Linked DNA regions of Arabidopsis thaliana. The protein of the gene in region 3 purifies or fractionates together with the protein of the main gene of each other region. This does not show direct contact. Each region holds a gene or a part of one and is shown on either strand. Other genes may lie near its edges.

The links.
Region 1: the proteins of NRPB8A (region 3) and AT1G61700 fractionate together in Arabidopsis thaliana (co-fractionation; one large-scale study listed by BioGRID). This does not show direct contact.
Region 2: the proteins of NRPB8A (region 3) and RPC14 fractionate together in Arabidopsis thaliana (co-fractionation; one large-scale study listed by BioGRID). This does not show direct contact.

Annotation. Positions count from the first base shown.
Region 1 is NC_003070.9:22,785,433-22,789,035, forward strand, and holds AT1G61700 (RNA polymerases N / 8 kDa subunit), read left to right. Parts: upstream 1-1,579; 5' UTR 1,580-1,672; coding exon 1,673-1,708; intron 1,709-1,828; coding exon 1,829-1,887; intron 1,888-2,468; coding exon 2,469-2,563; intron 2,564-2,654; coding exon 2,655-2,680; 3' UTR 2,681-2,948; downstream 2,949-3,603. Other genes in the region: AT1G61690 (phosphoinositide binding protein), read right to left, coding at 1-625, 713-881, 1,237-1,350; AT1G61710 (Cysteine/Histidine-rich C1 domain family protein), read right to left, coding at 3,427-3,603.
Region 2 is NC_003071.7:12,640,875-12,644,561, reverse strand, and holds RPC14 (RNApolymerase 14 kDa subunit), read right to left. Parts: upstream 1,735-3,687; 5' UTR 1,275-1,734; coding exon 1,046-1,274; intron 925-1,045; coding exon 734-924; 3' UTR 618-733; downstream 1-617. Other genes in the region: TUB7 (tubulin beta-7 chain), read left to right, coding at 1-304; TIM10 (Tim10/DDP family zinc finger protein), read left to right, coding at 2,319-2,357, 2,606-2,658, 2,783-2,854, 3,136-3,174, 3,301-3,370, 3,486-3,536.
Region 3 is NC_003070.9:20,253,226-20,257,284, reverse strand, and holds NRPB8A (RNA polymerase Rpb8), read right to left. Parts: upstream 2,348-4,059; 5' UTR 2,241-2,347; intron 2,076-2,240; coding exon 1,997-2,075; intron 1,742-1,996; coding exon 1,584-1,741; intron 1,261-1,583; coding exon 1,169-1,260; intron 1,062-1,168; coding exon 950-1,061; 3' UTR 597-949; downstream 1-596. Other genes in the region: AT1G54240 (winged-helix DNA-binding transcription factor family protein), read right to left, coding at 2,791-2,822, 2,898-3,219, 3,317-3,400, 3,643-3,736, 3,832-3,888, 3,985-4,038.

The DNA.
Region 1 (3,603 bases), 2.5 Mb from region 3:
CGTTTCAGCGTAAGGGCTTTTCTCTTAAGGGCAATTACCTGACTCTTGTCAATACCCCCAGTCTTCTGAGGATTAGCACTTCGCGGAATTTCACGGAGAAGAGACGAAAATTCGCCCTCCAAACTTATAGTTGCTGGTTTCTTATCTTCATCGTCAGACCACCCAAGCTCCCTCAGGTCAGCTGCCAAATCATCATTTCCTTTACCCCCTTGACGTAGAGGCTTTTGTGATTTGCTAGATTCTTTGGTAGCAGCCTTGTTCTGCGTCTCAGCAACATTTCGCATAGACAGTTCCCTTTTCCGGTTCCTTCTTAAAGATATCTCTAATGCGTCGGCCTCTCTCTCAAGTTCCCTCCCTCTCTTAAATGCTTTTAGAGCTTCATCAGATTTCCCTTCTCCTTTAAGAATTCTGTACTTATTCTTCGCTTCTACTGCTTGTTTACGCAATTCTTCAGGACTAGCATCCAACTCCATACCTTTATTACTACTGCTACTTGCCATTTCTTTAGAAGCATTCCTGTCTGTGCTAGACACAGATTCAGATGAAGAAGATACATCAACATCAGAGCCTAGAATCTCACTGAGAACATCATCCTCATTCTTTACAGTCCTTTTCGAGCTACCTCCTGAACAAATTCACAATCTCTTTACATCAAAAACTAGCAGATAACACAAAAGTGTCATAAATAAGATCACTATAGGTACATAAATACCTTTAGCAGCTCTATTTTTGTAACCATGACGCAACTCAAACCGTGCAGCTTCTTCAATTTTCTTACATGGTTCACATATACGCACAGGTGAGTCACCTTGTCCACGTAGTGACAACCTTTGCTGAGTGCAGGTTCCACAGAACAATCCCCCACATCTCCGGCAATGATGCTGCTCGCTCAAAAAAACAAAGCCAACAGAAACTAAGAAAAATTAAGCAAATTCAAAGGTTTTTGGGAGACATAGAAGAATCCAGCAAGTCACAAGTCTAGTAATACACAAACCACAAAACATCCAGATTCACCAAATTTACTCAAAAATATGGAATCTATCAAATAGGCACATCACCAGAAACCGATCATTCAGTGAAGTTTTCCGATAAACAGATTCTGAATTAGATCTCGAAGAAGAATCGACTAAGACGAAACTAAATTTCGATCGAAGAAACTAAGAATCTAAAGATCGCGATAGCAATAAGCAAGTACCAATTGATAGAGAGAGTAAGGAAATTAAGAGAGAGGAAGACCTTGCGATTGATGAAAGTGAATTGAGAAGAACATCCTTGACAATGAGAAGCATCAACGACCCAACTATTTCCTCTTAGAGATGGCTTCGGCGGTAATCCGATCTTCTCCAACATTTTCCCGTCTGATTCTTCTTCTCCTCCGCCGCGAAACGAACTTGGTTTTGATTTTGATCTTACCGGAAATGTAAAAGATCGAGCAGATGAAGAAGAAGAAGAAGAAGAATACTTTTCCTCCTCTATTGTCAGATATAAAATAAATAATTTTAACTAATACGGTATCGTTTTAGCTAAAACACATAATAGGACTCAATATATAAAGCAATAATAATTAGACATGAAACTAATTTTTGCTTTGAGACGAGAACGAAGTTAGAAAGAGACAAGCCCTAAAGATCGCTTTGAGACGATAAACTCTTAAAGTTTCGATTCGTTCACGATGATCGTCCCTGTTCGTTGTTTTACTTGTGGAAAGGTTTGTTTTTTCTTCTCTCTTTTTGTACGATTTCGATTTGTTATATATATATGTGTGTGACAAATCTCTAGGGTTTGTAGTATTGAGATTTATGAAGCTTTTGTTTATGATTTTTTGTAGGTGATTGGGAACAAATGGGACACATACCTTGAACTTCTCCAGGCTGATTACGCTGAAGGGTAAGCGATATATAGTTTATGATTAGAAAAAGAATCATAATTTGTGAGAAATTTTTTTGGTGAACATGAGAGTGATTGAATCTTGGAATTTTGAACGTTTTCTGACATTTTCTTAGTTGAAATGAGAGTCATGTAAAAGATGAAACAATAGTGGAACATGACAATAGAATGATTTGATGGTTTTGTGTAGTCAAAGAGATTGCATGATCTTGTCTTGTATGATCATCTTGAAAGTTTATACATGTTTTAGCCTTGTTACTAAAAGCATGAAGTTAGATCATTGGGATTTTTCGATTTTCTTGTTTTAATCGCTAGTGTAATCTTTAGCCCGTTTGGTTCTAGGTGTTAAGCTACATGATTTGGAATTGCGCAATTTCGTTTTTGTTTTAGTTGCAATTTGATCATCTTGAAGTTCATAGATGTTATCTTAAGTGTTAGTAAAGAGCATGATGGTAGGTGATCACTGATATATTCCATTCTCTTGTTTCTATCTAATCTTTTAGCTACTTTGGTTTTAGGCATTATGCTAAAATTGCATTTTGTTGAACTGAAAATCTGAATTTTGGTTTTGGAATACGCAGGGATGCTCTTGACGCGCTTGGATTAGTCCGTTACTGCTGCAGGCGTATGCTTATGACTCATGTCGATCTAATCGAAAAGCTTCTAAACTACAACAGTAATATCTCCATACCCGGTTCTTTTGCCTTGTGTTGCCTCTGCTCTATTCTTTTTGTTAACTTGCTTATTCGAATACTTCTCTTTTGCAGCTATGGAGAAATCCGACCCCAATTAAAAAAAGATGCTATAATGAATAACAAATCATCAAGAGCTGAAGTGAAGGAGTGATGCATCTCATCCATGTGGGCGTCTTAATAAAACCACAATGTTTCAGAAATTTTGGTTTAATTTATAACTAGGAATGTTGATATTTCAATGTTTTCTGATGTTCTTGTTCGGTTTTAGAAATCTAGACAATTTTTCGAGCCAAAAATAAAGCTCAAGCCTGTAGAGTCATCATCTATTGATTTGTTTTTGGTAATCTAATCCTGATAAATAGTAAAGATCACACATTTGATAAGGTTCAAATCTACAATCTAGATCACGAGTAGGAAGCAGCTCTTTTTGTACGATATCAAATTGGTAATGAGAACAGAGCACATAAAAACAATTTGAATGGAGCTCCCATTTTATAACCGGAGAATATCAAAGTTTTTTAGTTACAAGTGGTTGTATTAATTCAAGGAAACCATTTAACAAAAGAAATATAAATATTTATATTAAATATACACTATAATTAGTTGAATATATATTTATTTTGGATCAAATGTTTATTAAGATATATTTTTATTATAAAAATTTATTCTGAAATATGTTTATTGAACAATATACTGAACTTAACAAACCAAGGAGACTTTTTTTATTTTATTTTTTTTCAAACACAAACCAAGGAGACAAATATGAAGAAAACAAATTACATTTGAATAGAGAGGTAGAGCTATATAACTCACTGAATGCTTGGAAATATTGTCTATTAGTCTATTACAGATTAAGATTTTCTAAAAGAATTTGAGCCCGCTGAACCCAGAATTTGAGAGTTTGGCTTAGACTCAAATTCGAGTTTTTACCTAGTACGCATTCAATATGGAAAATGGTGCAGCACTCAACGCACCAATAGAACACTTTTGTGTTTGTGTCTCTTAAATTACGTTCACATAC
Region 2 (3,687 bases), on a different chromosome or scaffold from region 3:
CAAATCAACCGTCTGTGACATTCCCCCTACTGGTCTGAAGATGGCTTCAACGTTCATTGGTAACTCAACTTCGATCCAAGAGATGTTCAGGCGTGTCAGTGAGCAATTCACTGCTATGTTCAGGAGAAAGGCTTTCTTGCATTGGTACACAGGTGAAGGTATGGATGAGATGGAGTTCACTGAAGCTGAAAGCAACATGAACGATCTTGTCTCTGAGTATCAGCAGTATCAAGATGCAACGGCTGATGAAGAAGGAGAATATGAAGAGGAAGAAGCTGAGTACGAGCAAGAAGAAACTTATTGAAGAAACAGATGATAAGAACACCTCAACTTCCAGTTGCTGTTTACTTTTAAAACTCTCTTCTATTAAGTTCTTATAGTTTCTGTAACTATCGCTTGCGTTATTAGTAGTTATGATACTCTGCGTAGGCTAAGAGGATTTATCAATCAATATTCAAACAATCTATTTTGCTAAATCAAAATCCATCCATAGTATTTTTTTTCTTTGTTTCATTATATAACCTTTTGTTAATTTTGACTATGTGAATTCGGTGAAGACTTCACCATCTTTCAAATATAAGAAGCAGAGTAGTAGTGACAATGGTTATAAGCAATATAAGAATCTTCTTGGTTAAATTTTGGTGTGGATTATGAATTTGACGAGTCAATTTGAAGGACGAATCTGGATTTAAGATAAAAATAGTATAAACTCCATAGGAGAATACAATGGTTATCAGTTGTTTTCAATGTCCATGGACCCAAATAGATCCCTCTGCCTCTTAAGCTCTTCTTCTTCAGCCTCCTCCTTACGCTTTTGTTCATCCTTATACTCAGCAACAGCCTTATCAAAAACGCTTCTCACATGTCTGTTCATTTGCATGAGCTCTTGACATGCATCTTTAAAAACCTCTCTTGCTGGATCACCTAAAAGCCACAGAGCCAACACGTTTTATGTTGTTAGACACACAGACAAAGAACTCGGATAAGAGTTATCCAAAAAGAACATAGCTTAACTCTGATGAACAGAGTTTTTGAAAAACAGTACCTGTTGTCTGGACCCGGATATTGACCTGTTCAAGGGAAGGATGTGGGATGGTGTATGCAGCCACGGTTACTCTGGGACTGCAGAATTGAAAACAGTACTGGTTATTGACATAATCATCATTGTCTACACACCAGCATATCAACTCCATCAACCTCAAAGATAAGATAATGTGACATTCATTGAATACAATGAGAATCTCTAACAACATAACATGAATGTAAACCAACATTTAATCGAACTCTCAAGTTTCACAATCACAATATAATGGCGAACTTAATGGACCAAACTCATCCAACGAAAGATATCGGAACAATAATGCCTCGTCACTGCTGTCTCTATCTAAGAGCTAATTCTAGACTATCTTTTCTAGTCTCTAACCACAGAACATGAATCTGAATCGAACTCAACCTTCACAATCACCTTATAATGGCACAAACATACAATGTGCACACTGATTATTCAAACAAAATTTGATTATCTTCACAATAATTCTAACCAAAAACAAAGGTAAAGACAGGTAAGAGATTCATTCCTAATGAGGGAAACTATGAACTCAATAATCAGAATTTGAGAGTGTCACGAACTAAGTATGAGATTATAAAGCTAAAGCCTTTCTCTGTGAAAGTGTATAGCTTCTTCTATATATATACATAACAGATTCAAAAGGATTGAAAGAAGAAGATACTTACTCTTGGTTTAAGACGAATCTAACAGCATTAGCAAGTGTGTGATCTTCTTCCGATAAAGTAAACGAAGCATGACTAACATTCGTGAACGAACCGTGCTCCATATCTCACCTTCTTGCTACTCAATTCCTTAACTCAAAATCAAAAATCCACCACCAACTAGAAAACACAGAAAGAGAACGACTTCAATTGAAAGCTTTGAATAGCTAAACAAACCCACAAAGAAAAACTCGAAATTGAAGAAAATTTCAGCAAAAAAAGTTGAGAGAGTAAGAAAGAAGATACCTCCAATAGAAATTTGCTAAAACCCTAAAAGCTTGATTAGTCGGCGACTTTTAGTCGTGGAGAAGCTCAGATACTTTAGCGTAATTACATCTATACCCTTTCGTTTGATGACGTGGCGTGTAATGTCTCTTAAACCCTAATTCGGCTGTGTAGCAAAAGAGAAGCCTTTGTTGTGTTCTTTACCTCTCTTCACGAAATCCCATTTGAGAAAGTAAGGATTTATGATCTTCAAATTCAAGTATGAATTATAAAGTTTCGATTTTTACGAATCATTAATTTTGTATTCAGGTACTGCTAAAAAAATGGCTTCTCCTATTCCCGTCGGCGTTACTAAGGAACAGGTTCGGTTTATTTGCTCGTCCTTTATTGTTAATACATCGTAAAGCTCCGATCTTTGATCTAATTAGACAATGGAAGCTTAAGTTTTTCTAGCTGTCTCTGTGATGACATATAGGTTTCAATGTTTTTGCAATGCTTAGGGTTTAAATTGTATCGTGATTCAGATCTTTAAGCCATTTATTAGATTTGGATTGGTGTTGTCAAGTTTCTCATTTTGCTTTTTTTTTTTGGTGTCTTGGATTTGAATCAGGCGTTTAGTATGGCACAAACGGAGATGGAGTATCGCGTGGAACTCTTTAACAAGTACTGAATCAAACACCCATTTGGTTTATCTTTCGTTATGAAATTCGATTTTCACTTGTGATTGCTTATCTGGTTTAATTTTGTTTTGATCACATTGTTTAGGGCTTCACTTATTTTCAAATAGTGATATATATAAGCTAGAGGAGTATAAGTTTGAGACTGCTGATATGTCGAAAATCCTTAGGCTGCCTGAATTGTTTATCTTGAGGAGGAAATCTAAAATCTTTCTATGAGGAATTCTCGAGTTCTGTGCATATGTATTCAGCTGTTATGTAGAGTTTAAACTTTGATAACATATGACTTAGGTGGTGTTCTGTTAATATTCATTTCCCCGGGCCATTTGTGATTCCTCTGGTTAGAGATTATGAAGAAAGTCACATCTTTATATGTGTTTCTTTTCCTTCTAATATACTTTGTGGTCTATTGTGATTCCTCGGGTTAGAGACTATGCTGACAGGCCTTGTTCTTGTATTGCAGGCTTGCTCAAACATGCTTTAATAAATGTGTGGATAAAAGGTAAACTATTTCTCCTTTTGATGTTCTATAATTACGTCGTGGAACTTGTCTGCAATTGTTGAAACTTTTCTTAGCTGAGAGATGAGTAAGTTGCACCTGTTTTGAGATTCTTTGCCTAATTCTCAGGTACAAGGAAGCTGAGCTAAACATGGGTGAGAATAGTTGCATCGACCGTTGTGTTTCCAAGTACTGGCAGGTAAGGCTCTCTGATACTTCAACAATTAACAATTTGATACTTCAAATCTTCTCATAGTTGACTACTATTATTCAAATTCAATGCTTATGTTCTTTTTCATTAAATTTGTTTTCAGGTAAATGGAATGGTTGGACAGCTTCTAAGTGCTGGCAAGCCTCCCGTGTAATCCAGTTTAAAGGCAATTATTACAGACCAAAAAGCTCATGGAGGGAACACAACTCTGTTCTTTGTTTTTCTAAAGTTTAAGGCAATCTTGTTTTTATTGTCAAGAAAGTTGCATCACATTTTTGGCGCTGATTTGGACAAATTATGCAATT
Region 3 (4,059 bases):
GAAGGTGAAGTGAAAATGGAGGTAGATTCGAGTGATTGTGTCCTTGATTTCTTTATATTACGCCATTTATCCTTGAAATTTGGGCAATAAGAATAAACAATACAACATTAATACCCAAATTTCGACCTAATTCCACATAATAAATCTCAAAAATCGATTTCCATGGAAGACGAATGGGATTTTGGGAATTTTCGATTACCTTGAGGTTAATGTTTGTGCGATCTAGAAGTTGAGCCGCGAACTCTGGATCGTCTAAAATACTTGTCCATTTTCCGGAACCGTGCTTGGCTAGTCCGGCGAGAAGGGCTTCCTTCTTCCACCGTCCATTTATTCTTCCGATTTTCTAGTTGTTTTTTCTTTCTCTTCAAGTCGAAATATATACCATTTAGAAGGCCTCATCAAAAGCTTTTATTGGGCCTAAACATGGCCCACTATACAGATTTAAAATTAAATCTTGATCTGTTCAGAATTTTTAAGACTAATCTCGACCGTCCAAGATATATTCTCCCAGTCTCAAAGAAGCAAGAACACAAACATGGACTAGAGAAAACACAAGCATGGATTAGAGAAAACACTCTATTTTTGGCTCAGAATCTATTTTTCGAGCTTTATTGCTTCATATTGTTGTTAGAAGATAAGAGTGTAGTGAAAATTGGTTAGAGAAGAAACAAAACTGTGTCCTTGACCAAAAAAAAAACTGTGTCTTTGTCTGTGTTTTTTGTTATGTTCTTGGTCTCAATTGCTTATCTTCATCAATAGCTTAGAGCTACAAATAGTACATTTCACCGGACCGGAGCAGTCAATTTGTGGAATGGGATTTAAAACGGAACGGAAAAACTTGCTTTTGCACAAGAGTTGCTTCATGAAAATTGCAAGAGTTGAAGTAGTAAAAGTTAAACATTAGATCAAGCTCTCTATTAATTCAGTTTTTATCCGAAAAAATGGCACCTCACAGCTTCCTCATGAGTAGGAAGAGCCTCTGGTCGAGTTCGAAGTGAGAAATGTGAGCTGGATCTCCCTTAAGCAACATCAGGAGGCCGCCAAACGAAACATATAGCTCTCTGGAAACACATAATTTAAAGAAAATAAAATAAAACATGATGGTTTGATATGTGAGTTGAATTGGATTGAATTATTTTGATATGGGGGGGTTATATGGGATTCTTACGCTTTTGGAGTTTTGCCGTCACGCTCAGAGATCTTGTAAAGCTTCCCGTGCATTATGTATTCATACTTATCGGCAAGTGTTTTCTTTGCTCCCTGTAATGTATCGAGATGAAAACTAGATAAGATTAATGTTTAGATATGCATACACATTCTTGGTTTTCAAATTTAGATCTTGAAGATTCAAGAACTAAAGCTTGTTAAAATTCCATGTCTCCTCTTATTCCTAGATAGACAGGCTTCTCGAATCAGCCAACAGAGTTATAATATCAACCATTTAGCAGCATTAACAGTTATATCCTAACAAAATCCAGATACGGGTTCAAAGTTACCATTCATGGAAATTTGGCCAAGCAAACAAGAGACTGTGTATATACTCAAAACAAAACAACTAAATAAAAAGCAGTAGAGTTTATTACCGGAGTAAAATAACCGGTATCAGGGGTTCCATCGAGATTCAGCGTAGGAGCCAACGCAAGTGTGAACTTATCACCAACAGCCAATGGATAAACCTCTGTATTAACATCTAAATGCATAAACATTTCCAAGTTGTGGCTCGTAGCTTGAACGCGAGTAACTGTAACCACAAACACAACAAAAATCATTGTAGGTTTAAGAGAAAGCCACTCAATCTGAAGACAGAACAAAACTTGGGGGAGACTAAAAACTTAAAAAGTTAAATTTTTCCACAAAACCCACACACTCAGACCAAAAAAGGATAAACGGAAGAACTCATTCACAATACATACATGAACTAAACAGCTATGAACAAACGTCGATGTAAGCCATGAGAAGTACTAGAAATCGTGAGTGAGGCTAATAAAGTGTATACCTTTATCGAACTTTTTGCCATCAGGGTCTAACTGATCGACCACGAAGATATCCTCGAACAAGATGATATTGCTCGCCATCTGCAAACACGGAAATTCAAACCCTAAACACTCTTTATTTCCTTGATAAAACCCCAATTAAACCAGTAAACAAGACCTATATGGACATCTAATGAGTACAAGAATCCGAACTCTGAAATCAACTTATAAACAACCAATCGCATAGGAAAGTAAATAGTTCCGAACCAGGAGCTTGAGTTGAGGGAGAGATGGAGAAGCTTGAGATCAAAAAGTTCAGACTTTAATCTCCCAAGCGATGGGCGATAGAAGAGCCAAAAAACAATTAAAGGGACAGACTGAGAACAAAAACTCATAAAAGTCCTATGTAAGCTTATAATGGGCTTACAATGAGGCCCATTATAAAATTGTAATTCTCATAACTAATTTTTTTCTTTCTTGATCAGTATTTGAAATTAATCTCGACCGTTAAAAATACTTGCTAAAGACACCATGACACACTTTCTTTTTTTCTTTCTTATGTTATGTATTAGAAAAACCTATTCAATTCTTAAGATTGGCATTATCTGTAAAAACTTGTATTAACAAAAACTAACAGAATAGTCTGTTGCCTTCACAACCAAAATCATTTAACCACAAAGTAACAAACTATGACTAGTTAGTCAAATGAAATCACATTTCATATCTACACTCTTTTTTTTACTCAAAACCAAAAACACTAAAAAGAAACCGGTGATCGAATATATCCACCTTGAACCGGACCAGAAGGTCAAAGCTTTTACAGCAGGAAAATCTTTTCACCGTTAGCACCTGCAAGGACCAAATCAAATGAAAAAGTCAGTGATGATGATGATGATAAAAGGTTAAGAGGTGGACATTACTTACATCGATTAAGGATTTCTACGGCTAACTGCAAGGTTATGTTGCTTTCTAATTTTAGCAACTGGGCGTGTTTATCTGCAAGTTCGTATGCCTCTTTTGCTTCCAACTCCAAGTGTTCTGCCTCTGCGACTTCTTTTGCTAATGCGATTATCCGAGGATCTACTTCTGTTGTTGGTGGTGCGAAAGAAGCACAAGTACTTGGTGTGTCTTGTGCCTTTGTGCCCGTGGAATCTTCTGGATCCATGGTTTCTCTTTGATTTGAATCTCCTACTGACACAACTGGAGTATCAAATACACCACGGGGGATCTTGTAGAGGTTTCCTACCTGCATTTACAAGTTTTTTTTTCCGTTTTTCTGAACTGATCAAACAAAACTACTGAATCTTAACATTAGTGTGAGGCAACTCTGAAAAACTAGTTACCTTGTATACTTGGCCTTCAGAAACTAGATATCTCAGCTGGTTTTCCAACCGCTCCCTAAAATCTTCCTGTAACTCGTTCCTTTCCTGCAATTTATATTAACCACAAGAACATGATGGTTAGTTGATCAAGAACAACGGAGGAATCAACAAAACCAAGACTTTAAAAGGAAGACTTTTAGGGGATGGAACATGAAGTCAAATTTTCAGATCCTAATGTTCCATTGTGTAATCCCGCTATTGACTCACATTTCAGAACCAATATACACTACTCATGAGATATGACCATGAAACACAGATACTTATAGAGACAGAGAGATCCTCCTAACCTTGATAAAAGTGAAAATCGCATCGACATCAAGACCATTATGATTCTCGTAGACTGTTTCTAAAGCCTGAAAGATCAATTCATCAGTCGTAAACCTGAAACAAAACCAACAAAAAAAGAGTAATATCAAAACATAGATAGACCAGAGAAAACAAAGATTGGTGGTTAAAGAATCGAGAAGGTCACAAACCCAGAGGGACCCCGGTCTTCTTCTGAATCTATCATCATGAGCCTTTCAAGCTGTTCACTGAAAATGAGATAACAAATCAATCAAAACATAACCAGAAAAGCAAAGATCAATTCTAAAAGATTGGTTCTAAAGAATACAATAAAATTCACTAACGCATAGGAAGAAGGTTCTGAAGAATCCGTAGCCGCTGGAGAAGAAGGAAGGTCTCTGAAAAAAAGAGAAAGAAAT